Oryctolagus cuniculus: one gene and its partner. The protein of the gene in region 1 binds, or shares a complex with, the protein of each later gene. Links are inferred from orthologs where the notes say so. Each region holds a gene or a part of one and is shown on either strand. Other genes may lie near its edges.

Region 1 (5,968 bases):
AAATATACAGTTAGTAATGATTATTGCCCATGTTTACTCTGCTTATTCTGAGCAATGATGACAGAATTTGAATTATTTGTAAATTCAAGACATGGGAAGTTTCTTTCATATGTTATTTAGAAATTTTTTGAGAAACCAGAAACAAGCTATCACTCAACATTTTATGATTACTCAGAGATGCATACTACATTTTATGGTAATTTGTATATCATTCTATTCATATTTTTCCAGTGTGTAAGGTCCCAGCTTTCATTTTTACTCTCATCTTTTATATTCAAGCTGAATTGGGTAAATGTGATCATGGCAGTGACTTAGAAACTATGTCTCCCTTTGATTCCTGTGCTAGTTAGCAGCTCCCCTCCACATGAGAAAATGAAATATATCAGGCATATTCTATGGCTCAACTGTAGTTCATTATCTTTGGAACTCTATGAGATAAGCATTATATTTTCCACTTTACATTTGGAGAAACTGAGATTTTAGGATGGCTAGTGGCCTCTCTAAAGTCTACCCATTCAATGGATGGAAAAATGAGGACTAGAACCCAAGTCTGCCTGACTTTATAAAGCAAAGAATGCCAACATAACTTCATAAAGAAAGAGGGGATATCAGGGCCACAAAATATGAGATGTGATAGGAAAGATATTGCCTGTTGGAATCTTTGCTAGATTTTTATTTGGAGGAAGTTGAAAGAGTAGAAGATAAGTTTTATAAAATGTATTTTTCAAACATAAAACTACATATTTAAGAAGATAATTTCTGAGTAGCATTTTTCAATGTCTCTCAGAAGCATTTACTTCTTTTGCAGTAACTACACTTGCTTAGGTATACCTATGCATTTTGAAAGTCTATGCTGTGACACTTGGCCATACTTATCAAGTCACTTTTTAAAACTTATGGGTCATTTAATAATGTGTAAATAAAATATGTACAGTCAAAATATATTTTTACATAAGCTCCTCACTCCTCACTCCAATACCTGTGTTTTTGATATTGACCAAAGTTCTTTGGCTGCCTTTTCATTGAATTGACAAGAGACCAACATGTAACCCAGACAAGGTTTGCTGGAGGCTTGTGCTCCCACACAATGGAGACAGCATGGTACTGGCTCCCCAGTGGGAATTGAACAGGAATTTTTATTGTTCTGGGGAGGAGTGACTGTGCTTTTTCTGTTTCTGCCTTGTATTCTTTTGCATACAGTTCTTCAGTTTGAACTCAGCTCCATGTTCTGTGTAGGTGCAGTTGCTTCACAACACACTCAAATTGACAGTGTTGCTCACTACTGCCACCTAAGAAGATTATATATGGGTCTCACAGGGCTATTGTGGGCTTGTAAGCTGGCTGAGGAAGTCACTAATTAGGCATAAGGAGTCTTTTATGGTGGTTAGAGTATGAATGCTCCTGATTGGTTTGGAGCTGGAGGTAGATACAAGCAAGTTGGGAGGGGTTTGGCTGAATGAGGCATCTTCCCAACCTGACTCAGTTTCAGTGCCTTCCCATCTCATCACAAACACATCCACTTCCTGACAAGGAGAGAGGAAGAAAAGGGGAAACTTGGATGGAAAGGAAGGGTTAGTGGGTGCTGAGGGCAAAGTGTAATACTGTGGGTAAGATACTTTGGGTTAGGCCATCTACTGCCTGGATATCATGTACTGCAGGTTAGGTTTTAATGTCCTTATTTAACGAATTAGTCATATATTGAATTTCGGCTCAGCACTGTTAGACTTCACATTAAACCACACTGCCTCCAAGAGGAGCCAGGGATGCGCTTTCAGTAAATGGGAAGTGTTCTTTACATGGAAATTTCTGTGTTGAATGGACATAGATGAATTAATTATGATAAAGTCTACAAACCCGAATTATTTAGGAAGTAATTAACATAATGATTTTTCCAACATACTTTGGTTCTTGACCTCTGAAAATCTGATGGTATAGTCTGGAATGTTTAAGCTCTATAGATCTCAGAGGAAGCATTCTCTAAACAAAGCCATCCTTTTAATTCAGTTTCGGTGGAAAAGTGTTCTAAACTTCATGTTATAATGGAAAGAATGATTCGAGTTTATAAAGAATCTTTCTGATCCACCTTGAAAATTACTGTACCTTCCAAAGAAAGATGAGACAAATGATATATTTTAAAAATTTCTCTTTTTAAAAAATTTCTCAAGAGTAAAGAAAGATAGAATTATTTCTCACCTACTCTACTGGACTACATTTAGTGCTATGACAGCTATAAGAAGAACTCAGGCTGTTTTGTTTAGGTAATACATTTTAAATTACAAACCAGTGGCACAGTAGCAAACAAAAATCAATATACCTAATTGTATTTTAGCCACTGAAATTTTATACACTTAAAAATTGAAAACTATTTGCATTAAAAAACATTATAGTTGTAATGATTGATTTTCCAAACTAACCCTGAGGAAAAAATGTTTTATTATTGTCTTACACAAAAGAAAGCAAAAAAGGTATTTAAAAATGCTTGAAGTTGAGCAACATTGGGTCAAAATGAATTGTAATCCACAAAATAAAATGTACATTACATGCAAGTCTGTTGAAAGGATCTTTCTGCATATTCAACTATGTATCTATCTATGTTATCTTGTTTGACTTAAAAATGGTGTACTTCTTTTAAAGGCAGAGTGACAGAGAAAGGAGGAGGGAGAAGAAGAGAGAGAGACAGAGTCCCCCATATGCTGGTTCAATCCCCAAGTATCTACAACAAGCAGGACTGAGCTATGCCAAAGCCATGAGCCAGGAACTCCAAGCAGGTCTTCCAAATAAGATGAGGGGCAGGGGCCAAAAACCTTAAGCCTTCTTGTGCTGCCTTCCCAGGAACATTAGCAGGAATCTGGATCCCAAGCAGAGCAGCTGGGACACCATCCAGCACTCGCATGTAGGATGCCTGCATCTCAAACAGCAGAACCAGTTCCATGTCTTTTTAATTTAAATATTTTTGAACAAAGTCCTAGAATAAAAGCTAAATAAAGTCATAGATCTTTTTTCTTATTACCCTAAATGTCTAGAACAGTTATTTTACATGTTAGACACTCAGTGAACATGTAAAGGATAAGTGAATGAAAAAGTAAAGACAATAATCCAAAGCTATTTACTTTATGGGTTTTACATGAGGATAGAGGAAAATGCTATTGTCTCTTGTCTTTTAGATACACAAAAATGAAGACTGCCACCAACATTTACATATTTAACCTGGCTTTGGCAGATGCTCTAGTTACTACAACCATGCCCTTCCAGAGCACAGTCTATCTGATGAATTCCTGGCCATTTGGAGATGTGCTGTGCAAGATAGTCATTTCCATCGACTACTACAACATGTTCACCAGCATCTTCACCCTGACCATGATGAGTGTAGACCGCTACATCGCTGTGTGCCACCCTGTGAAGGCTTTGGACTTCCGCACGCCCTTGAAGGCCAAGATGATCAATATCTGCATTTGGCTGCTGTCATCCTCTGTTGGCATATCCGCGATAGTCCTCGGAGGCACCAAAGTTAGGGAAGGTGAGTGCTCTCATTTTCACCCTGTTTGTGAAAATGACTTCTGACCATACAGACTTAATTCAGAAGTGAACAGAGCACAACTAAAGAAAAAAGTCAAAAGAGAGTGGGAAGGAGTTATGTAAATACAAGCGTAGTTGAAAACAGTTCACGGAAAATTTGAATTGAAAGGCAAGTTTAGTTTGGTGCAAACATATTTTGAAATTCATGCATTGTTTCTTTTTTAATAATACATTTTTTCCACAAAACTTTTGAGGACCCATCGTAGAACCCCTACACCTGTGAAGATGGAAAACACATCGATTTTGTGTCTCTCCCTCCTCTGAACACAGAGTAGGATATGGACAACACGAGAACACAGGCGCTCGGCTCTTCTGTTCTGGAAGTGCTTCTCAGAGTCTGGAGGGGTGAAGACCAAGTAAATAAGGTTGCACTTTTGGAACACAACCTAGAGATTCCAGGCACAACTTCTCACTCCTTTTCATTCTCTGTAACGAGGAACCTAACTCATTAGATGCTTATTCAGGTTCTTGTTTCCTTTTCCTAAAAGAATTTCTCCACACCACTGTCTTGTTGTTTGTCTGTAGGTCATTCAAAGCCAGCTTCAAAAGTTGATGTTACCCATAGATGGGCAACATCATTCTGTTTTGGACATATTTGTTCTTGCCTCATGGAAATAGGATGATTGATGTTCTCCCTGTAGTTCTTATTCTGGACTGCACATTGAAATCCCTTTAGATACTTTAGAAAACACTGCTATTGGAGTCCAGCCCCTGGAGGGTCTGGTTTAACTAGTGTGGCATGGATGTCAGGACATTTAATATGTCATCATATGACTCTGGCCTGCATCCAAGATAAGAACTACTGTTCTAGGATTTTACTTTACTAGAAAGAGAGAAAACTATGGACATATCTCTGTTTCTAATAGAAATTCACTTGGGGGGAGGGGAGTAGAACAGTCACTCTGGACTTTATAATATTATTTGGGGGCTCCAACAGGAGTCTAAATGCTCCAGTTTATTGGGGATATTCATGATACTTGTGAGAACAGAAAATTGAATATGTGCGGTGAGAACTTTTCAGGTAACAGTAAAAGGGCTGGCACTAAAATCATAGCTTATTTTTCATGATGCATGTTTTTCTTTTCTTTGTTTTTGACAGATAGAGTTAGACAGTGAGAGAGAGAGAGACAGAGAGAAAGGTCTTGCTTCCATTGGTTCACCCCCGCAAATGGCCGCTATGGCCAACGCCACGCTGATCTGAAGCCAGGAGCCAGGTGCTTCCTCCTGGTCTCCCATGCTTGTGCAGGGGCCCAAGCACTTGGGCCATCCTCCACTGCCCTCCCGGGCCACAGCAGAGAGCTGCCCTGGAAGAGGAGCAACCAACACTAGAACCTGGTGCCCATATGGGATGCTGGTGCTACAGGCGAAGTAACCAAGTGAGCCACGGCGCCGGCCGATGCATGGTTTTTATAGACAAATTTTTAGAGCAGCTTTAGGTTCATGGCAAAGTTGGATAGAAAGTATAGAGTTTCCCTATAGCTCCCACTCTCACACATGCACAGTCTCCATGACTATCAATGTCTCCCACCAGAGTAGGACATTTATTAAAACTGATGAATGACAATGACACATTATCACCCAGAGTTTATACTGGGGTTCACTTTTGGGGCTATACATTCTGTGGGTTTGTACACATGTATGATGACACGTATCCTTTTCCTAAAAAAATCCCCTTCCTTCCTTCCTTCCTTCCTTCCTTCCTTCCTTCCTTCCTTCCTTCCTTCCTTCCTTCCTTCCTTCCTTCCTTCTTTTCTTTCTCTTTCTTTCTTTCTTTCTTTCTTTCTTTCTTTCTTTCTTTCTTTCTTTCTTTCTTTCTTTCTTTCTTTCTTTCTTTCTTATTAATTAATTCATTTGAAACACAAAGAGGAAGAGACAGGGAACTCCTGTATATTGGTTCATTCCCCCAAATGCCTGCAGCAGCTGTGACTGGATCAGGCTAAAGCCAGGAGCCAGAACCTCAATCCTGCTCTCATATAGGTGACAAGTACCCAACTGTCTGAGCCATTACCTGCTGCCTCCCAGGATATGCATTAGCAGAAGATAGAATCAGGATCAGTCAAGACTCAACCCAGGCACTCCAATATGTGATACTGGTGTTCCAAGCAGCATTTTAACCTTAGACCAAATCTCCACCTCTTGTATCCTTTGTTTTTTAATGTGGCATGATCTGTTTCTTTTGAAACTATTAAATGAGTTTCCAGCAGAGCCACAGCAGATAATAAGCTATAATATTTGGTAACTTTCAAGAAATGCCCAACTTTCTCTATCAGATAAACATTTTCAAATATGATTAATCACATGCAGGATTTGTTTCCTCATACCTACGAAAAATGAAAACAAACTGCATGGAACTCTTTAGAGACCTAGGTGTTTGTGTGTAACAACTCCAATT
Region 2 (5,968 bases), on another chromosome or scaffold:
AAAAAGCCGCCATAGCGTTTGACCTGCACCTTGGGGTCCTCCTCTTGGAAATCGAGGCCACCTGCCTCCACAGCGCTGTTGTGCAGCTGAGCACCCCCCGTGAGTTCAGATTCTGCTCCCTCCCCAAGCCCACCCGAGAGGCCCCTGAGTTTCTCTTCCAGGCTCTGGCTCAGAGTGTTTTCCTTTGTTGGGGTATTGGGGAAGAACTGCCTTGTCTCCAGCTCCTGCAGCAAGGGCCCTGTGAGCTTGGCCAGCTCACTATAGGGCTCTTCCAAAGCCACCTTGCTCTCCACGTCTTCATTGCCATTGAGCTGGAGAGTGGAGGGGGTGAGGAAAGACAGAAAGCCCTGGCATCTCTCCCATTCCTCAGAGGGCAGCAGGGCAGCCTGGCATTCCAGGGAGCAGATCTGCAAAAGACCCCAGAGACCACAGCGGTAACATCACCCCCATCAAACCATGCAACCCTGCACGTCCCCACCCTGGAGCCCTCTGTCAGATGCCTGAGAAGATCCGAATGAACCACATTGCTAAGCACTGAGATACCCATTGGTGCATCAAGATAGGTGGCTGTGTGACCATGTGAGGGTGGAGAAAACAAATTTGCAAAAGGACAACAGTGTTCCCAAGGGCACAAGCACAGGTGCAATGCCTGGAGTAGAACCCAGAGCCCATCAAACTCTGAGATCACCCTGCCTCTTCCAGGGCAGTGAGTGGTTCTCCCTACCCTTCCCAGGTGTCAAGAATGCTGGTCACACGGTGGAGAGAGGCACAAAGGGACACAGAATGGTAGAAAGCACGCAGGTGAGGGCACATGTGTGGGTTCCTCGAGCCTGGGGCTAGGGAGACAATAGTACCTACTTCATAGGATTGCTGGGAGAATTGAATTGTGGTGGTGATGAGACGACATTGGTATTGGCCAAGGTGCCCAGTCCTGGAACATGAACCCAGGCAGTCCAGTGCCATGAGTTGTCCTGCTTTCCTGAGAGCATGTTTGGGCAGCCTCTCAGTTAGCAGGGGCTAGAATTGTATATTGAGTACTTTCCATCACGATCTTAGGGAAGCACCCCCCATTTTGTAGATGATGAAACCGAGGTTCAGAGAGGGAGTTCCAGGGTCATGGGGCAAGCAAGGGTCAGGACCAAAGCCTGTGCTGTGTCCACTACATCCTTGGAAACTCTACCCCGCCCTTCTGGTGGGAGCCTGATTCAGAGCAGAGCTAACGAGGCTGGGTCGACAGATGCTAAGACTCAGGAGAGAGGTCAGGCTTTGACCCTGCCAGGCAGGTCATTCGGGGGTGGTGGACACAGTGCCTGCCACAAGAGCGACAGGAGGGGCCCATCAGCCCAGCGCTGAGAAGCCCTGGAAGTTCATCTAGGGCTGCTGTGTGCAGAAGCCAGCAGCTCATGACTGGCACTCCTAGTTGCCAGGCACCAGGCTCCATGGAAACCTGCAACATGGCCTGGGTGAGGTCTGGGGTGGGAATGGGAGCTGGACAATGGCAGCCCCCAGAGCCCAGGCTGTCCACAGGGCAGAACAAGCCCTGCCTGGTGGGCCAGTCTCCAAGACAGGCACAGCTGCCCAGGCCTGTGACCTCTCCTTGCCTGCAACGCACCAGGGGGTTGATGGGCTTGGGTCCATCCTGGGTCTTCACAGCACACAAGGAACACCGGGACAGGCAGTCTGCTGTGGCCGAAGGGAGCGCGAGGAGGCAGGCAAGCAGCACCGGCCACGCCATTCTGTCTCCGCTCTTGCAGCTGGGGAGGGAGACAGAGAAGATTATGGAGTTTGCCATCACCACCCTGGGGTGTGTCCTGAGCCCGTGCACTCGGTTCTTAACCTCCTGCTAGCAGTGCCGCAAGGCCTCCCTCGTGGGCCCAGCCTATAGCTGAGAAAGCAGAGGCCCGGAGAGGTGGAGTGGGTGCCCAAGGCCGGGGATGGAGGGAGGGAAGTGCCGAGGGCTGAGTGCCTGCCCCGTGCTGGGAGCTTCCCCGTGCGCTCGCGCTCAGCCTGCTCTTCGAGGTGCGCTGTGCTGTCTTCATTGCAAGCTGGGGAAGCTGAGGCTCAGAGATGCGGAGGTGACTGCACGTGCCCAGGAAGTGGGCGAGCCAGGACCTGACCTGGGCCTTGTCGGACCTCAGAGCCCACACCAACATCCGCCAAGCCAGGACATCATCGGCCGCATCCTCGCCTGGGCTCTCCGAGGCCCCCTGCTCCCCAAGCTGTCCCAGGCCAGTCCTCTCTGCTTTGTAAAGTCTTGGGATTTGCCTTCTGTACCCCAGCACCGCTACTGCCCTGGCCGTGGGTCCTCCTTGCCCGCCTCTCCATGCCGGCCTCCCTGCCTCCAGTCCCTCCCTGACCTTCCTGCCCGCCCCGAAATGCCCTTGGCAGCCTAACAGTTTTGTGATCAGAGCCCTTGGGAAGGGCCAGGACTGGCTGTTCTGCTTAAATGTCAAGAACACCCCCAGTCTCATCCTTGCACCCCAATACTTTAGCTCTGGGCTCCAACCGCATTTAGCTACTTGCAGTCCCCCAAATGATTGCAGCAGGCTCTGTCTCACCCTGGGCCTCTGCATACACTGGAAAACCTGTCCCGCCTCTTCTGTCTGTCACTGCAATTAGATGAAACTCTCGCTTCCTCCAGGCAGTTCTCCCTGATCTCTTAGGAGGGCTGAGCTGCTCCTATTCCACACCCTGCAGCTCTTCCAAGAAAACCACCCACAGCCTGGTGCTGAGCTGTGTGCACCTTTGGACTTTGGTTCTACAAAGACAGGCACCATGGTTTTTCTTCTCTGTAATCCTTGCTTGCTCCTACTTCAGGGCCTTTGCACATTCTGCTCCCCTGTCTGCAGTCCTGTGACCTCAGATTTTCATGTGGTTCACTCCTTCGTACCCGTTAAGCAGATCAATTACCCCATCAGCAGAGAAGCACCCACCGCTGCCTGAGTCTAACGTGGCTGCCTCCTTCCGTCCCTCTCACCTCAGTCCCCGCCCCACAGCTTCCCATCAACTTGATTTCTGCTGCTGGCAGTGGTGGTGGTGGCCATGGAAGCCCCCATGAGAATGTTAGCTTCTCAAAGGCACGGGTCCTGCCTTGTCCCCTGCTGCACCCTAGCATCTAAGTCCCTGACCAACGCAGAGTAGGTCCTCCGTAAACATGTGGCAGATGAATGCAGGCTTCACAGTCTGTTAAAAGTTGCCCCTTTTAGGCCGGCGCTATGGCTCACTAGGCTAATCCTCCGCCTGCGGCGCCAGCACACCGGGTTCTAGTCCTGGTCAGGGCGCCGGATTCTGTCCTGGTTGCCCCTCTTCCAGGCCAGCTCTCTGCTGTGGCCAGGGAGTGCAGTGGAGGATGGCCCAAGTCCTTGGGCCCTGCACCCGCATGGGAGAAAAGGAGAAGCACCTGGCTCCTGGCTTCAGATCAGCGCAGTGCGCCGGCTGCAGCGGCCATTGGGGGGTGAACCAACGGCAAAGGAAGACCTCTCTCTCTCTCTCTCTCACTGTCCACTCTGCCTGTCAAAAAAAAAAAAAAAGTTGCCCCTTTCCTGTTCAACTCTTTATAAATCCTTTATCAAGATTCAAATGGGACATATGCTGTTCTCCCAACAGGGAGGGCAGGGTCCCAGCAAGGCCCCCGCCCCCTGGCTGCTGGGGCCCCGTGCCCTCCCAGTCTGGTCTGTGTAGCCGGACGCCCCTAACTCAGAGATGGCCGTTTCTCCTTCCCTCCAGGGTCCCCGTTCCTGCAATCTGTCCTGTTTACTCAGGTACTCAGGGGTTCAGAAGATTCCAGCCCACCTGCCCAGAGCCCCACACTGTTGTCCAGAGCAAGGTCTCCCCTCCAAAGCGCAAGTAGGGTCCCTGACTGGAGCATGCGCAGGAACGACCCTGTCGCCATTTGTTGAGCCCGTACTGCCCAAGCCCCCAGGGGGCACTGTCGCATTTACTGCTCCCCCGTTAGGTAGGCGGGTCTCACGCTGGGAGACACCTGCCTGGGTGACTCCCCACCTACTGGCTCTGACTTCCGGAGAGACTTTGGGTCATTACCAGCTCAGCCCCACTGAGATCCAGGAGCCCTCGGCTTGTACATTTTACTCAATCCACTGCCAGTGGCCTGAGGTGGGTGAGAATGCTGGGGCTCGGAGGGGCTTGGCCAATCCCCCGGGGTCACACAGTGATTTAGGGGAGAGCTCAGGCCCGTGAGCCTCCCTTGAGTCTGGACAACATCAGCTCCATGGAACAGAGAGGCTCCGAGTAGGAAGCTCAGGGCAAGAGACCTGCGTCTGCCTGGGGTCTCTCTCTTGCCCTTGGCTTTCACCCTTGCTGCACCTGCTGCTGAGCCGAGGAGGGTTTCAGGCCAGCGAGCTACCGTGGAGACGGACAGCAGGCGGCTTGTGTTTTCTCTGATGTTGGCGATGCCTGGGACAGCCTGGGATGAGTCTGGTGGTGATGGGAGGGCATTTGGTGCCGCAGCACAGACACTGCGTGGGACACCCACACCCACATCACAGCACCTGCTCTGCGTCCCAGCTCCTCTGCTTCCCAGCCGGCTTCCTGCTAATGTACACCCTGGGAGGGGAGGAGGCCGGTGACGGTGCGAGCGCTGGGGCCCCTACCACCCATGTGGGGGATCCTGATTGAGTTCCTGGCTCCTGGCTTCAGCCTGGCCGAGCCCTGGCTTTTGTGGGCATGTCTCTCTGTCTCATTGCCTTTCAAATAAAATGAAAAAAAGGAAAGATTGGGTTAGCAGTGAATGAACCCACAAGACCTGGGAAGCCTGCTCCAGCCACTAACTCCGGCAGGAGGCCTCCCACACGGCTTGTCTGTTTCTGTAGGAGACCCAGTCTGAGATCTCCAGTCCAGGTAAAAACAATTGTGGGCAACTTTTCCTTTCATCTGTTAAGTCTGTCTATAGCAACAATTCCAGCAGATCTGGGTATCGGGTAAGAGGTTCCGAGCAATCTCATGCCTTAATTCACTTCTACTCGCAGCAACTCAATGGAGAGAATACTATTACCATACCCAATTTACAGATGAAGAAACTGAGGTAAGACGCCAGCCAAGACTCCAAAGCAAGCAAGCAGCGATGCTGGGGTCTGTGACCAGATAGTCTGGCTGAAGGGGCCTGAACCTCTGCGTGCCGGCCAGACCCCTTCAGTTGCCCAGCTCCGACCTCCAGCTGCTCCCCGCAGGTTTCCACACTAGCCCCCACCAGGTGGAAGGCCTGCTGGGCACCAGGCTGGGCTGAGCGCCCCTCATTCCTCCAATCTGGAAGCAGCCACCAGTTCTCAGGAGCCTGCTGGGTGCCAGCCAGCCCTGGCCACTTTGTGCATTTTTAGTTCCGAATCCTCACAGTCATACAAGAGATGGGTGTTCTTATACCCATTGTGCAGAGGGGTGAGACTGAGGCTGGGAGAGGGAAACTCGCAGGTTCAAGCTTGTGCCTGGGAGAGTCGGGCTCCTGATAAGCAGCTTCCTCTGTGTTAAAAAGGAAGCTGTACTAGAGACACAGGCTTGAGGCTTCCCCAAGCGATCCTGTCTCTCTCTTTTTTAAGAGTACATCATCGAGCAATACCAGATGGGTCCCGGGTGCAGGTTCACCTTTCTGAGGGCACCTGCTGAGGACTGGAGCTTGGAAGCCAGACGTTGGCGATGGCCGACTTGGGGTGAGCCGGGGGGCGGGGGAGTGGACGCACGCCCACTCGGCAGGCCCGAGGGGCCCTGGCAGTGGGTGACTTCGTGGCCTCCTGCACGGGCTTGTGGACCAGGCAGCCTCGCTGAGAAGGTCCTCCCCGCAGCTCATGAGGCGCAGCCGCAGCCTCTGTCCCCGGGCACTCGGGAGCAGCCCTGGGGGTTGGGGGCACAGAATGGTTCTCCCCGCAGCCTCCATAATCGCGTGAGACCACTTCCTGCTGCAGAAGCATCCCGCTGGCTCTGCCTGTCTGGAGAACACGGCCAGGCCCCTGCCGGCGGA

Evidence for each region.
Region 2: the proteins of OPRK1 (region 1) and PDYN are in contact, whole or in part, in a cryo-EM structure (PDB 8F7W), measured with the Homo sapiens proteins. The link is inferred for Oryctolagus cuniculus from reciprocal best matches to the Homo sapiens genes OPRK1 and PDYN. Residues at the interface, in NP_000903.2 of Homo sapiens: Thr111, Gln115, Trp124, Val134, Ile135, Asp138, Tyr139, Met142, Lys200, Glu209, Cys210, Asp216, Tyr219, Lys227, Val230, Phe293, Ile294, Glu297, His304, Ala308, Leu309, Tyr312, Tyr313, Ile316, Tyr320; in NP_001177821.1 of Homo sapiens: Tyr207, Gly208, Gly209, Phe210, Leu211, Arg212, Arg213, Ile214.

The regions. Positions count from the first base shown.
Region 1 is NC_091437.1:78,044,957-78,050,924, reverse strand, and holds part of OPRK1 (kappa-type opioid receptor), read left to right. Parts: intron 1-3,164; coding exon 3,165-3,517; intron 3,518-5,968. UniProt on the Homo sapiens protein: G-protein coupled opioid receptor that functions as a receptor for endogenous alpha-neoendorphins and dynorphins, but has low affinity for beta-endorphins.
Region 2 is NC_091442.1:27,670,318-27,676,285, forward strand, and holds part of PDYN (proenkephalin-B), read right to left. Parts: intron 1,755-5,968; 5' UTR 1,736-1,754; coding exon 1,613-1,735; intron 408-1,612; coding exon 1-407.